Arabidopsis thaliana: one gene and its partners. The main gene of each other region encodes a partner of the protein of the gene in region 2 in a complex. Each region holds a gene or a part of one and is shown on either strand. Other genes may lie near its edges. The genes, in order: LSM1B, LSM6A and LSM3A.

Region 1 (3,753 bases), about 17 Mb from region 2:
TATCTACATGGTGCAAAATTCAAAACTAAACTTCTCAATTTCTATGTTGAAAAAGTGCCTAAGAGTTGAGAGTTGTTAAAGTTTACCCCAGCTTTGGGTTCATGAATAAGGACATTTTCCTTTGTAAAGCCGGTCTCTTCTAAGAAAAACGGAAACGACTTCTTGGAAAAATGCCAACACAATGTCAACAAGTGCAAAAGATATTTGAGTTCAGTGGCTACTTCTGATCCTCTAAGTTCTACACTATCTTTACCACCAAAGACACGATCAACATGTAGAAGTCCCTACGGTTTTAGGTACACAATTACAAAAAGTTCAATTTTGACCACAAGATAATTAGAAAAAAATCCAGAACTTAAGACCGTTAAAACGATGAAGAGATGTTATACCTGCCTCTTGATGAGAAAATTGATCCCAAACGCAAGATCACCAATAGGCCACTTCCCAAGAGTCTCAGAGTAAGTAAAACGAAGAGTCTCAGAAAGAGTAGAAATAGTCTCCAACCAAGTTGCCGGAGCTTGAATAAGCCTATGCGAAACACGGTCAATCCTCAAAGAAGGACGAGAAGCAGAAGCTTCAGAATTCTCATCGTCAACGTCAGATGGACCAGCTATTAATTTCCGATTCAACGTGTAATATAAAAGAGCAGCTGCTCCAGCTGCTGTTGCCATAGTTGCAGTTGCCATGATCAATCTATCCCTAAAATCATCAATGAAACAAATTCGCTCAATCCAAGACGAAACTCAATCTAATAAGAATACAAAATTTAAAGACAAAATCGATTGAAACTACATTGGATGCCACAATTTCAATCTCCAGATGCGTTCTTAAGTATCTCAGACTTATTCCAGAAATCTCCAAAAACATGTAAAGCTGGAAAATTGGATATAATTTCGTACAAAGAACATTCTTTTCACCAATTAACCCCAAAGAATTCGGGATACAAAAAAAAGAAGCCATTAATAGAAAACTCTCACTTTCCTGAAACTTCTCGAATACCACAACAAACCCTACTCCTGATAACTATCGCGTCTTTTAACCGATGCAAATCATAAAATTGAATGTGATTTAGCTTAAAATTGAACAGGATCGGTGAACTATAGAAACAAAACCCTAAATCCTACCCCAAGAATAGCATCGTTAAAACACGAAGTTCTTTGTGAATCAAACCTGGAAAAATAAGACGAAATCGTGACCTTAATTTGAGGGTTTTACAGTGGAGAAGGAAGGTTAAGGTTGCTTTAGCTTATGTACGATATCTCCGGGAAGGGGAAGCTGCTTTCTCTCCGATGATGTTGTTAGCTACAAGATGCTGCAATGCAAAAGTGTGAAAACAGAATTTTTTGTTTTGCTTTAAATAAACTGCGCTACGTTTTTGTGCTAAGCGAACGCCGCGTAGTTTCGCGCCGCCGAGATCTGATGCTTACGTGGGAATATATTATTGGATGACTTACCCATAAAAGCGTTTTAACATAAATCAAGCAGTAAATAATAATAGTGTTAAATCGACTTTTTTGGTCCATAAATTAAAATTTATTCGAAACAGATATTTTATTAGCTTGGAAGATTAGTCTCATTTATTTAAGAAACATTCAGTCACAATAATTATTAGGAAATTTAACATTAAATTGGAAAGTGCTTAAAGTATTAAAGTACAACGTCTTATCTATCGAGTTAAGAAATCGTGGACATTGCTTGAAAATAATAAAAAAGGGACAGTGGACGGATTTGCTCGCTAGTTTTCTCTTCGAATTTTCCACAAACAAATTTTCTCAGCCAAAGTTCGATCGGATCTGGGTTTTATATTTTTTTGAAGAACCCGTGTCCGTCTTCGATCAGGTGTCGAAAGTCTCAATCTTTTTTAATCACTTTATCAATTTAAACCCTTTGGTCAAAACCCTAATTTAGATTTCTCTTTCCGTCTTCACTTTTTTTTTTTCCTGTCAAAGTTCGCGTTCAATAGCCAAATCTTATCTCTTCAGCTGGAATCTGACGAACATTATTATCATCGGTAGTGTTCTATAGAAAGACCGAAAGTTTTCTTCAATTTCAAAGTCAGTGGCGATGTCGTGGGCTGGTCCTGAAGAAATTTATCTTTCAACATCACTCGCTAGTTATCTCGATAGTAAATCCGTCTCTCTTTCTCTCTGTTTCACATATTTGTTGAACCGTATGAATGCATGTAGTTAAAATAATTGGCCGTGATGGCTCTGTACGCATTTGGGAGCTCAATTTTGCAAACAATTCTCTGTTTTTTTGACGTTTGATTTTGACTTCTTATTGATATATAGGCTGTACTATTTTGTGGCTGTATCCAAAGCTTGTCAATTTTGGTGTTGAATTGTCTCAAAGAGACATTCATTGATTAAGATATTGATTATTGAATCAAAGCTTTAGTTTTTTTTTAATTGGGTCAAATCTAACTGTTCATCAGTTATTGTTGTCAAGCTAAATTTTAGCATGCGTGAGAGATTAGATGTGATTGAGGTTGCTGGCTCACTCTTTATTCAACTTACGAAGTATAAACTTTAACCTTTGTTGAAATTTAATTCACTATCGGCTTTTTGATGTTGGTTCTTTGAGTTTAAAAGTCAATGATCTTCTTTTGCTGATGTTTTTGGGCTATGAGTTAGTTCTCAATCTCATTTGGCGTACCGTTTTCTTTTTTAGATATGAATCAATGTGCATCAGTTACTTATGTATGTTGGCTCTGCTCTTGATGATGCAGGAAAACTACTTGTGCTTCTTAGAGATGGTAGAAAGCTAATGGGAACACTCCGTTCCTTTGATCAATTCGGTATTCACTTTTCTTTCCATGTTTCTAGATTTACGATATTGTTGATGAGCGGGAGAGATTTGACTTTTTTTTGTTCGTTGTAAATACACAGCCAATGCGGTTCTAGAAGGTGCGTGTGAGAGGGTAATTGTTGGTGAACAATACTGTGACATTCCTTTAGGCCTCTATGTAATCCGTGGAGAGAATGTTGTTTTGATTGGTGAGCTGGTAAGACTTCTCCTTGTTTGTCTTTTCTTGCTGTGTCACCTCGTGTTTTCCAATTCACTGAGTTTGACCTTAAACTATGTATTAGGACACGGAGAGAGAAGAGCTTCCTCCACATATGATTCGCGTCTCAGAGGCAGAGATTAAAAGGGTAAGACATCGCATAACATGTTCATTTTGATTAGCCAAATTTGATTCATTTGTGATGCTGTGTGCGTGCTGATGATTTGGTTTTCGGGAATCTGTCTGTTGATGCAGGCACAAAAGGTGGAGAGGGAAGCGAGTGAGCTGAGAGGAACAATGAGGAAGAGAATGGAGTTTCTTGACTTTGATTAAACCAGATTGTATCCCCATTCATTATTGGCTTGATGCTCTGCTTTGGCTCGCAAGTTTTATGATGAGCCTTTTTGGTGTGTTGACTTAGGGGATCGACGCAATTCTTGTGTTTCATTTTGGATGAATATGACAATAAATCTGTGTACTTTTGTCTTTGGATCTATTTACCTTTTTAAGAAAAAAATGTTAAGCAATTTCTTTCTCTATTTTGGAACTTTTAAACAAGGAGCTTGCCTATGGCTACTACCAAACGGAACAAAAATGGAGCAAATGAGTAGAGGACGTCGCACATTGCAAAATTTACATGGTACTTATTGGTTCTGTGATCAATCAGGACTTTTATAAATAGAAGACATATGGCACAAACAACAACACACAAATATGTTCACCTGGAGATTATTCCACCGGGCAGGAAA
Region 2 (3,753 bases):
CATTTCCTTTAATTTTTTCATCTCTCAGAAATTTTGTTGTGCTAAGATTTTCTGCTAGATTCCCTTTTGATGTTGTCAAATTTCATTTTTAAGCAAATAAACTGAAAAACCATGATTCTGTGGGCATCATTGCGACTTTCAATCCAACAAATATTAATACATGAGCTATTGTCAAAAATATAACATTGCAACAAGGAAGAAAGCAATCATATCCTACTTTGAGTATTTTGATTGAAGACAATCTTACTCTTTGTAATAGTTCATTTGCAGTTTTGCTTTTGTCAATTCTTCAAATTGCCAAAGAATCTAGAGAGTGGTACAGGGCCATCGGTTTCGTGTTTACTTTTGCTAGAGTGTTTGTCTCTGCTGGACTTGTGCTTCTTCTCCTTCTTTGATCTTTTCGAACTTGATCTTGATCTTCTAGATTCATCTTCATCACTGCTAGATGACGACTCTGAGGACGAATAATGCTGCAAATTCATAACACAACCGATCATGGTTCATGTTAGCATAAGCTAGAAAACCTCACACTATCTGATATAAGCTAAACTTTTAGAAGGCACCTTTCTCTTTTTGCTTTTCTTCTTCTTTGAATCTCTGTCTTTCTTATCTGCGAGGTCATTGAACCATTGGCGACCAGTTAATAACGTCCTCAGAAAGAAGGTTTAGATGTCATGTTAAGTTAAGTGGATTATGTTTACCTTTTCGTGACTTATCACTAGAATAGTTCCTTCCTTTGGAGAGTTTCAACGACCTTTCTGCATCCAGCTGAGCTCTATACTCACGCATCAGTTTATCGGTATCTGCTTCAAGTTCTCCCTTTTTCAATTCTTCTTCCTACACATGTTACACGAAAGAAAGATATAATGTTAAACATTTCCTAATGTTCCATACTCACAATACAGAGAGACTGCTGCAAGTAGTAGTAAAAAACTGATATTGCAGATAATAAAAATGTTTAAAAAATGAGCATGACTAGAGTTACTTGAAAACCGCGAGATAGGGATAGATGTAATGTAGAAGGAAGACACACTCATTTTTATATAAACACACAAAGACTGCGTATCTGTGGCTGAAGATGATAAACAGCAGAGGAAAAGAAAATGATATGTTGGAATAAAGCTTCTAAATTGACGACAATAATAGCAATCTTATGAACACTAAATCATCAATGGTCAATTGATTATCTTCTATGGCATTATAACAAGGAACACCGTTCCATACAACATACAGAAGAACTTAAGTATTAAAAAGGCAAAAAGATTACCTTTTGCTTCTGCTTATACTCTTCCCAGGTAATAGTATGTGTAGTCTTGAGGCTAGCCAAACGAGCCGCATGCCACTCTGGTGTATGAAATGAACCATCCACCTGAGACAATCCTCATCAGAAATGTTCCGGTACCAATGCAAAATATCAAAGTTTGACTAATCCAAATGCTTCTTTGTGTTCACAGCTTACAACAACAATAAAAAGACTCTTGAATCACTGTAACACAAACTCTGATGCTACACTTTTACGAAATCACATTTAAACATGGACTTGATATCGTCTACAAGACCTAGCAGGTATTAGATACAAGTTCTTCCCCCAAAATTGGGACTCATAAAGGATCTCTTGTAGGCTTAATTCTAAATGCAGCTCGATAACCCAACAACACAAAAGATCAACAAAACCATAAGTAAATCAACCAAATTGGAATTTTGTTTGGAGAAGTAAAAAAAAACAGAATCAATTTGCAATGAAGAAGATGAGAGTATGAAAAGGTACAAACCATTCCGTCTTCAACCTCATCCGGCTGGGCGGAGCTGGAACCAACCCTAGATCTCTGCATAGCCTTGTAAGCTTGATTCTTCCCCATAGCTAATAGAAGATTTACCCCACAAGAAACAGTCCGCAAATTCCTTGCAGGAGAAAGAGAATTTAGAGAGATTGAGAGGAATTGTTTGTAAAATCTAGGGTTTGGGGGATTAACGGTCCAAAGGGAGAGGATTTAGGGATCTGTAGAGAAAGCAAACGAGAGAGAGACGAGAACAGAAGAAACTGTGAGGTCGAACCGAAACGCACTGGAGATTTAATTTCACCCTCCAAAGTAAAATAATAAAATCTATAAGGACTAATGTTCAATTATTATTAGTTTTAATATGAAAACTCGATCGAATCGAAATAACAATAATCATATAGTATATAGTTTTGGAAATAAATAATAAAAGCCCTTAGGACCGATTCGTTATTTCTTCGCTCTCTCTTTCTCTCTGTGTCTCGTACTCGAGTAGGTCTCAGGTAAGGAGTTCTTCTTTCAGTTCCTTTAATCCTTGTTAAAGTTTCGATTTCTCTTTACATTTTCAATCGAATTCGCTTCTATTGGGTTGAAGGTTTAGGTTTTTAGGTTTCGGAGTCTTTTTGTGATTCGAGAGATTGACTCTGAATGGTTTTTACCTTTTGAGTTTTTGTAGTTCGAAGAGCGACCAAACTGATTTCAGATCTCAATTGTTTCTGCAGTTACGTAAAGGATCGAGCTTAAAAGATGAGTGGAGTTGAAGAGAAAGTTTCTGGAACGACAAAGACACCTGCAGATTTCCTCAAATCCATCCGTGGGAGACCCGTTGTTGTCAAGCTCAATTCTGGTGTTGATTATCGAGGTGCCTCTCTCTCTCGTTAGATGTTCTTATGTGTTTTGCAAGTTCTCTATCTCTGCTGCACTTTAGGTTAGAAGCTTTGACTTAGGACTAGTTCTTTTGTCTATGTTAAGGGAATTAAAGAGTTGCTTGTATTAAGCCCACTTAAGTAACTTAATTATCATGTTATGTCTTCAGCTTTTAAATGATTCTTTTAAAGTCAATATGTGAAGCTTTTCTTACATTTTCTAAGGTTTCCTTGTGAACATTGTTCAATGGTTTTCTTAAGAACATGTTCCTTTCTGCCTGCAATAAGGTTACAATAGTTGACTGAGATATTTGAATATTTAAGTCAGTTTCTCTCATTATCAAGGCTACTTATATCATTCTTGTTGACTTCTTTCCTTTCGTGCCCGAGTCAGTTTTGTCTATGTTCTGTTCAAGCTTAATGTTGAGTTCTTGATCAAGTTTTTATTACTCTTTTCACAGGCACTCTTACTTGTCTTGATGGATATATGAACATAGCAATGGAGCAGACGGAGGAGTATGTAAACGGGCAGCTCAAGAACAAATATGGTGACGCCTTTATCCGTGGAAACAACGGTAACTAAAATCTCTCACACTCATCCTTCTCTCAATCTTCTTCTTTGTATATCTTTCTTTTTAAGTGTGGTTTCTTTGGATGCAGTTCTTTACATCAGTACAGTAAACATGACTGTAGCAGACGGAGCCTAGGCCCATCATGATCATCAACAACAACAACAGTGGTCATGTTATGGCTGCCATTTTTGTTGTCTTCTTCTACCTCATATTAAAAGAGTAGTAGACATGTACCAAGATTGTCATCCTATGTTCTTCAGTAGATTTTTGGGATACAGACATCACTTTTTTCTTAGTAATATGATACTCTTCCATGTGACCCCAGATAAAGAAGAAAAATTATTAATTTATGGCTTGATACAATCATACAAGCAAACAAAATTGAGTTTGGGTGACCAACAGATCGAAACGAGGAAGATCATTAAAGTTTAGTAATCGAATTATGTCATTTAGGGATCACTGGAAACACACATGTCAAACTAGTATAACCAGTCAATCATCAGATTATCATATTCATAGCCATCGACACATTTGAAT
Region 3 (3,753 bases), on a different chromosome or scaffold from region 2:
TCATTGAGACCATTCCGTTGGATCCAGTGCCACCAGTAGCCAAAGCTGCCTACTCCAGAACATCAACTGATTCTCCAAGCAGAAACTATAGAGAGTCACAACCAATGGGTTCTCCGGTTCAAGCCAGACCCAGACGAAGATAAGACTTCTCTTCTCCATTGTTACTATGCTCGAAGCGTGTTGGTGATCATGACAAGTTATATCTTACGATAGATACCTCAAAACTTTTAATTTCATCACTAATCTTTTTTTTACTGTAAATTTACATGCTTACAATTACATTAATCTTTTCTCATGAAATCAATCTTGTTTGCGTTTTCAGCCTCCTGTACTGTGAATCAATTTGATGGTTTGGTTAATCAAAATGTCTTTCCTAGGGTTACACACATCTAAATATGTCACCAATCACTATTCATAATAGAGCTCGAAATCAATGAGTTTGAGGAAGTATACAAATCTTTAGAGAAAACTACACCAAACCAGAAAACGAAACTAAATCCGATCGTAAACGGTAAGAAAGTCACAATACGAAGTATGTTACACTGATTCTACTATAACGAGGCACCCATTACCAAGATTCGAATGCTACATTCGGTTTCAATGTTTGACAACAAAGAAAAACATACCACACAATTACAAATTCAAAAGCCAAGTAATCAGAAAAAAGTGCTTTTACTCAGCGCCAGATTTGTTAACTCCGATCCCAGTACACAAGAACATTTAGGTCGTCCTCAAAGGCGGTGACACCAATATCACTCCATCTCCTCTCACGAATAGAAACGGTACCGTTCGCTTCGTTGTCTGACAGAAGCAAGTTACATCAGCAGGAGAAGAACATATGATTCTACACTAGTCTAATGAGAAGTTAGCACATCACATTTGGAGCGCAAACAACAAAATTCAAGTTTGAGAAACTAAACAGAGTTACTATATTGGTAATGAACACTCTCTATGTAACCAGCACTATTAACTTCTACATGAATCAAGCTCTCCTTTAAACTCAAACAGAGACATAGACAATAGATACTGTGATAGCTGAAATATTTTGAACCCAAAAACGTTTATCTTACTACTAAAGCCTACATAGATTAATAAATCTTATTGAGCTAAGAGAATTACATACCCGAACAATCTCTTCATATGTCTCGTCGTCGATTTCTATAGTCGTAATAACCTCTTCAACATCACCCAGAATCATATTCAAATGCTGATCAAAAGCCTACACCACAAAAACAACAACAAAAGTGAGAGTCTTAGAATTTAACAAGATTATGAGGTTTTCTACGCCAATTAGCTCTCGCTGAGGCTTTCGAAACTGAAACTCAACAAAATGGGTCCAAATTTTGATATTTGTGAAAAGAATAAAAACTAGTGTTAAATTCAACGAATAAGGAATTCAAAAAGGAGCTCAAAATCGAAAAAGATCACATCTGGTTACTGGTTTCTGGAATCCGAGTGGTTAAGAACGTACGTGAAGCTTGCCGCGGAGTTCACGGTCAGATCGGAGCTTGACATAGATCCTCTCTTCGATACTCAACCGAATCAGATCGAGTGGCTCTCTAACGGTGGCGTCTTCCTCGACTGACATTTTCTGATTATAACTTCTCCGAGGGTTTTGAAATTGTAGTGCTCTCGGCGATATCTCTCTGACTGAGCTCAAGCAATCGCCACCGTTGGTTCCCTAAAAACTTCAAACCAACATCTTACGATTCGGCCTTTTACTATGTTTTTGGGCTCTCATATCGGCCCAATATGGTTAGCTCTTTTTTTTTTTTTCGTCGAAGTATTATGAAGATAATAAATCATCTAATGCAAATAAATCATGGTTAGTGGAACTTAACTATATTAAGTCCAATCACAAGGTATCAATTGGTCATTTCATTACACTAAATTTACTATAATCTTTATATTGGTTGTTTTAATCAAAAAGCCTTTTGTCATATACAGAGAGAGAAGAGAAACCTGAGGAAGCTGACCGGAGAAGACGAAAGCAAACTTTTTTCTGTGAGTTTTACTTCCTTTGACTCATCTCTCATATATTTACCGCTTTATTTTCTTCATCCCGATTCCTCTCTGCTTCATTCTCTCCTAAAGTTTCGATCTTTAATATTCCCCTAAGATCCAGTACTAATTTTGTTGACAAAGGTTTTGACTTTTTGAGATCTGTTTTCTCTTCGATTTCTCTGATGAATTAGGAAGAAATTTGATCCAAAAATGGATGGGAATTTTCCACAAGGAGGTGTAGTTCGTAGTGGAGCTTCATCTTATGGAGGATTTGATTTACAAGGTTCTATGAGAGTTCATCACCAAGACTCCATGAATCAGCAGCATCGACACAATCCTAATTCTAGACCACTTCATGAAGGTCTTCCCTTTACTATGGTTACAGGTCAAACCTGTGATCATCATCAGAATCAGAACATGTCTATGTCTGAGCAACAGAAAGCTGAAAGAGAGAAGAATTCAGTGAGTGATGATGATGAACCAAGTTTCACAGAGGAAGGTGGTGATGGTGTTCATAATGAAGCTAATAGATCAACTAAAGGATCTCCATGGCAACGAGTGAAATGGACTGATAAGATGGTGAAGTTGTTGATTACTGCTGTTTCTTATATAGGAGATGATTCGAGTATAGATAGTAGTAGTAGAAGAAAGTTTGCTGTTTTGCAGAAGAAAGGGAAGTGGAAATCTGTTTCTAAAGTTATGGCTGAGAGAGGTTATCATGTTTCGCCGCAGCAATGTGAGGATAAGTTCAATGATTTGAATAAACGGTATAAGAAGCTTAATGATATGCTTGGTAGAGGAACATCTTGTCAAGTTGTTGAGAATCCTGCGCTTTTGGATTCGATTGGTTACTTGAATGATAAAGAGAAGGATGATGTTAGGAAGATTATGAGTTCTAAACATCTTTTTTATGAAGAGATGTGTTCGTATCATAATGGGAATAGGTTGCATTTGCCTCATGACCTTGCTTTGCAGCGTTCGTTACAGTTGGCGCTTAGAAGCAGAGATGATCATGATAATGATGATTCTAGGAAACATCAAATGGAGGATCTTGATGATGAGGATCATGATGGTGATGGTGATGAACATGATGAGTATGAGGAGCAACATTATGCGTATGGAGATTGTAGGGTAAATCATTATGGAGGTGGTGGTGGTCCTTTGAAGAAGATAAGACCAAGCCTTAGCCATGAAGATGGAGATCATCCGAGTCATGTGAATTCTCTGGAGTGTAATAAAGTCTCTTTACCTCAAATACCGTTTTCTCAAGCTGATGTGAATCAAGGTGGGGCGGAGAGTGGAAGAGCAGGTTCGGTGCAGAAGCAGTGGATGGAGTCGCGGACTCTCCAGCTAGAAGAGCAGAAGCTTCAGATCCAAGTTGAATTGCTGGAATTGGAGAAACAGAGATTCAGGTGGCAGAGGTTTAGCAAGAAAAGGGATCAAGAACTCGAGAGAATGAGAATGGAGAATGAAAGGATGAAACTTGAGAATGATCGGATGGGATTGGAGTTGAAACAAAGGGAATTGGGTGTTGAATTATAACGGAATTGGCTTCACTTCTCTTGATTGGTATATAGCTTTGCTAAATGAAGTCTCATTTTCTGCTTTTGTAAGCTTGCTTTGATTGGAATGATCTCGAGACTTTGATGTGAGAGATCTTTGTGGTTGCATCAGTGATGAAGTTTGTGAATGTAGTGAGAAAGGAGTGGTTAATATAAGCAGCTCTCTAAGGTTTGTTTTAACTCTACT

What was found.
Region 1: LSM6A (region 2) and LSM1B share a complex: the UniProt entries of both Arabidopsis thaliana proteins name them as parts of the heptameric LSM1-LSM7 complex.
Region 3: LSM6A (region 2) and LSM3A share a complex: the UniProt entries of both Arabidopsis thaliana proteins name them as parts of the heptameric LSM1-LSM7 complex.

The regions. Positions count from the first base shown.
Region 1 is NC_003074.8:4,665,653-4,669,405, forward strand, and holds LSM1B (Small nuclear ribonucleoprotein family protein), read left to right. Parts: upstream 1-1,655; 5' UTR 1,656-1,839; exon of another isoform or gene 1,840-1,949; 5' UTR 1,950-2,064; coding exon 2,065-2,125; intron 2,126-2,677; exon of another isoform or gene 2,678-2,697; coding exon of another isoform or gene 2,698-2,728; coding exon 2,729-2,797; intron 2,798-2,888; coding exon 2,889-3,004; intron 3,005-3,089; coding exon 3,090-3,152; intron 3,153-3,259; coding exon 3,260-3,337; 3' UTR 3,338-3,542; downstream 3,543-3,753. Other genes in the region: AT3G14075 (Mono-/di-acylglycerol lipase, N-terminal;Lipase, class 3), read right to left, coding at 1-3, 87-284, 390-686. UniProt on the Arabidopsis thaliana protein: Component of the cytoplasmic LSM1-LSM7 complex which is involved in mRNA degradation by promoting decapping and leading to accurate 5'-3' mRNA decay.
Region 2 is NC_003074.8:22,094,316-22,098,068, forward strand, and holds LSM6A (Small nuclear ribonucleoprotein family protein), read left to right. Parts: upstream 1-2,153; 5' UTR 2,154-2,281; exon of another isoform or gene 2,282-2,500; 5' UTR 2,501-2,525; coding exon 2,526-2,640; intron 2,641-3,105; coding exon 3,106-3,219; intron 3,220-3,304; coding exon 3,305-3,351; 3' UTR 3,352-3,651; downstream 3,652-3,753. Other genes in the region: AT3G59800 (stress response protein), read right to left, coding at 282-470, 564-610, 702-837, 1,268-1,369, 1,773-1,859. UniProt on the Arabidopsis thaliana protein: Component of LSM protein complexes, which are involved in RNA processing. Component of the cytoplasmic LSM1-LSM7 complex which is involved in mRNA degradation by promoting decapping and leading to accurate 5'-3' mRNA decay.
Region 3 is NC_003070.9:7,419,269-7,423,021, forward strand, and holds LSM3A (Small nuclear ribonucleoprotein family protein), read right to left. Parts: upstream 1,690-3,753; 5' UTR 1,589-1,689; coding exon 1,472-1,588; intron 1,220-1,471; coding exon 1,124-1,219; intron 802-1,123; coding exon 721-801; 3' UTR 396-720; downstream 1-395. Other genes in the region: SEC5B (Exocyst complex component SEC5), read left to right, coding at 1-143; AT1G21200 (sequence-specific DNA binding transcription factor), read left to right, coding at 2,215-3,546. UniProt on the Arabidopsis thaliana protein: Component of LSM protein complexes, which are involved in RNA processing. Component of the cytoplasmic LSM1-LSM7 complex which is involved in mRNA degradation by promoting decapping and leading to accurate 5'-3' mRNA decay.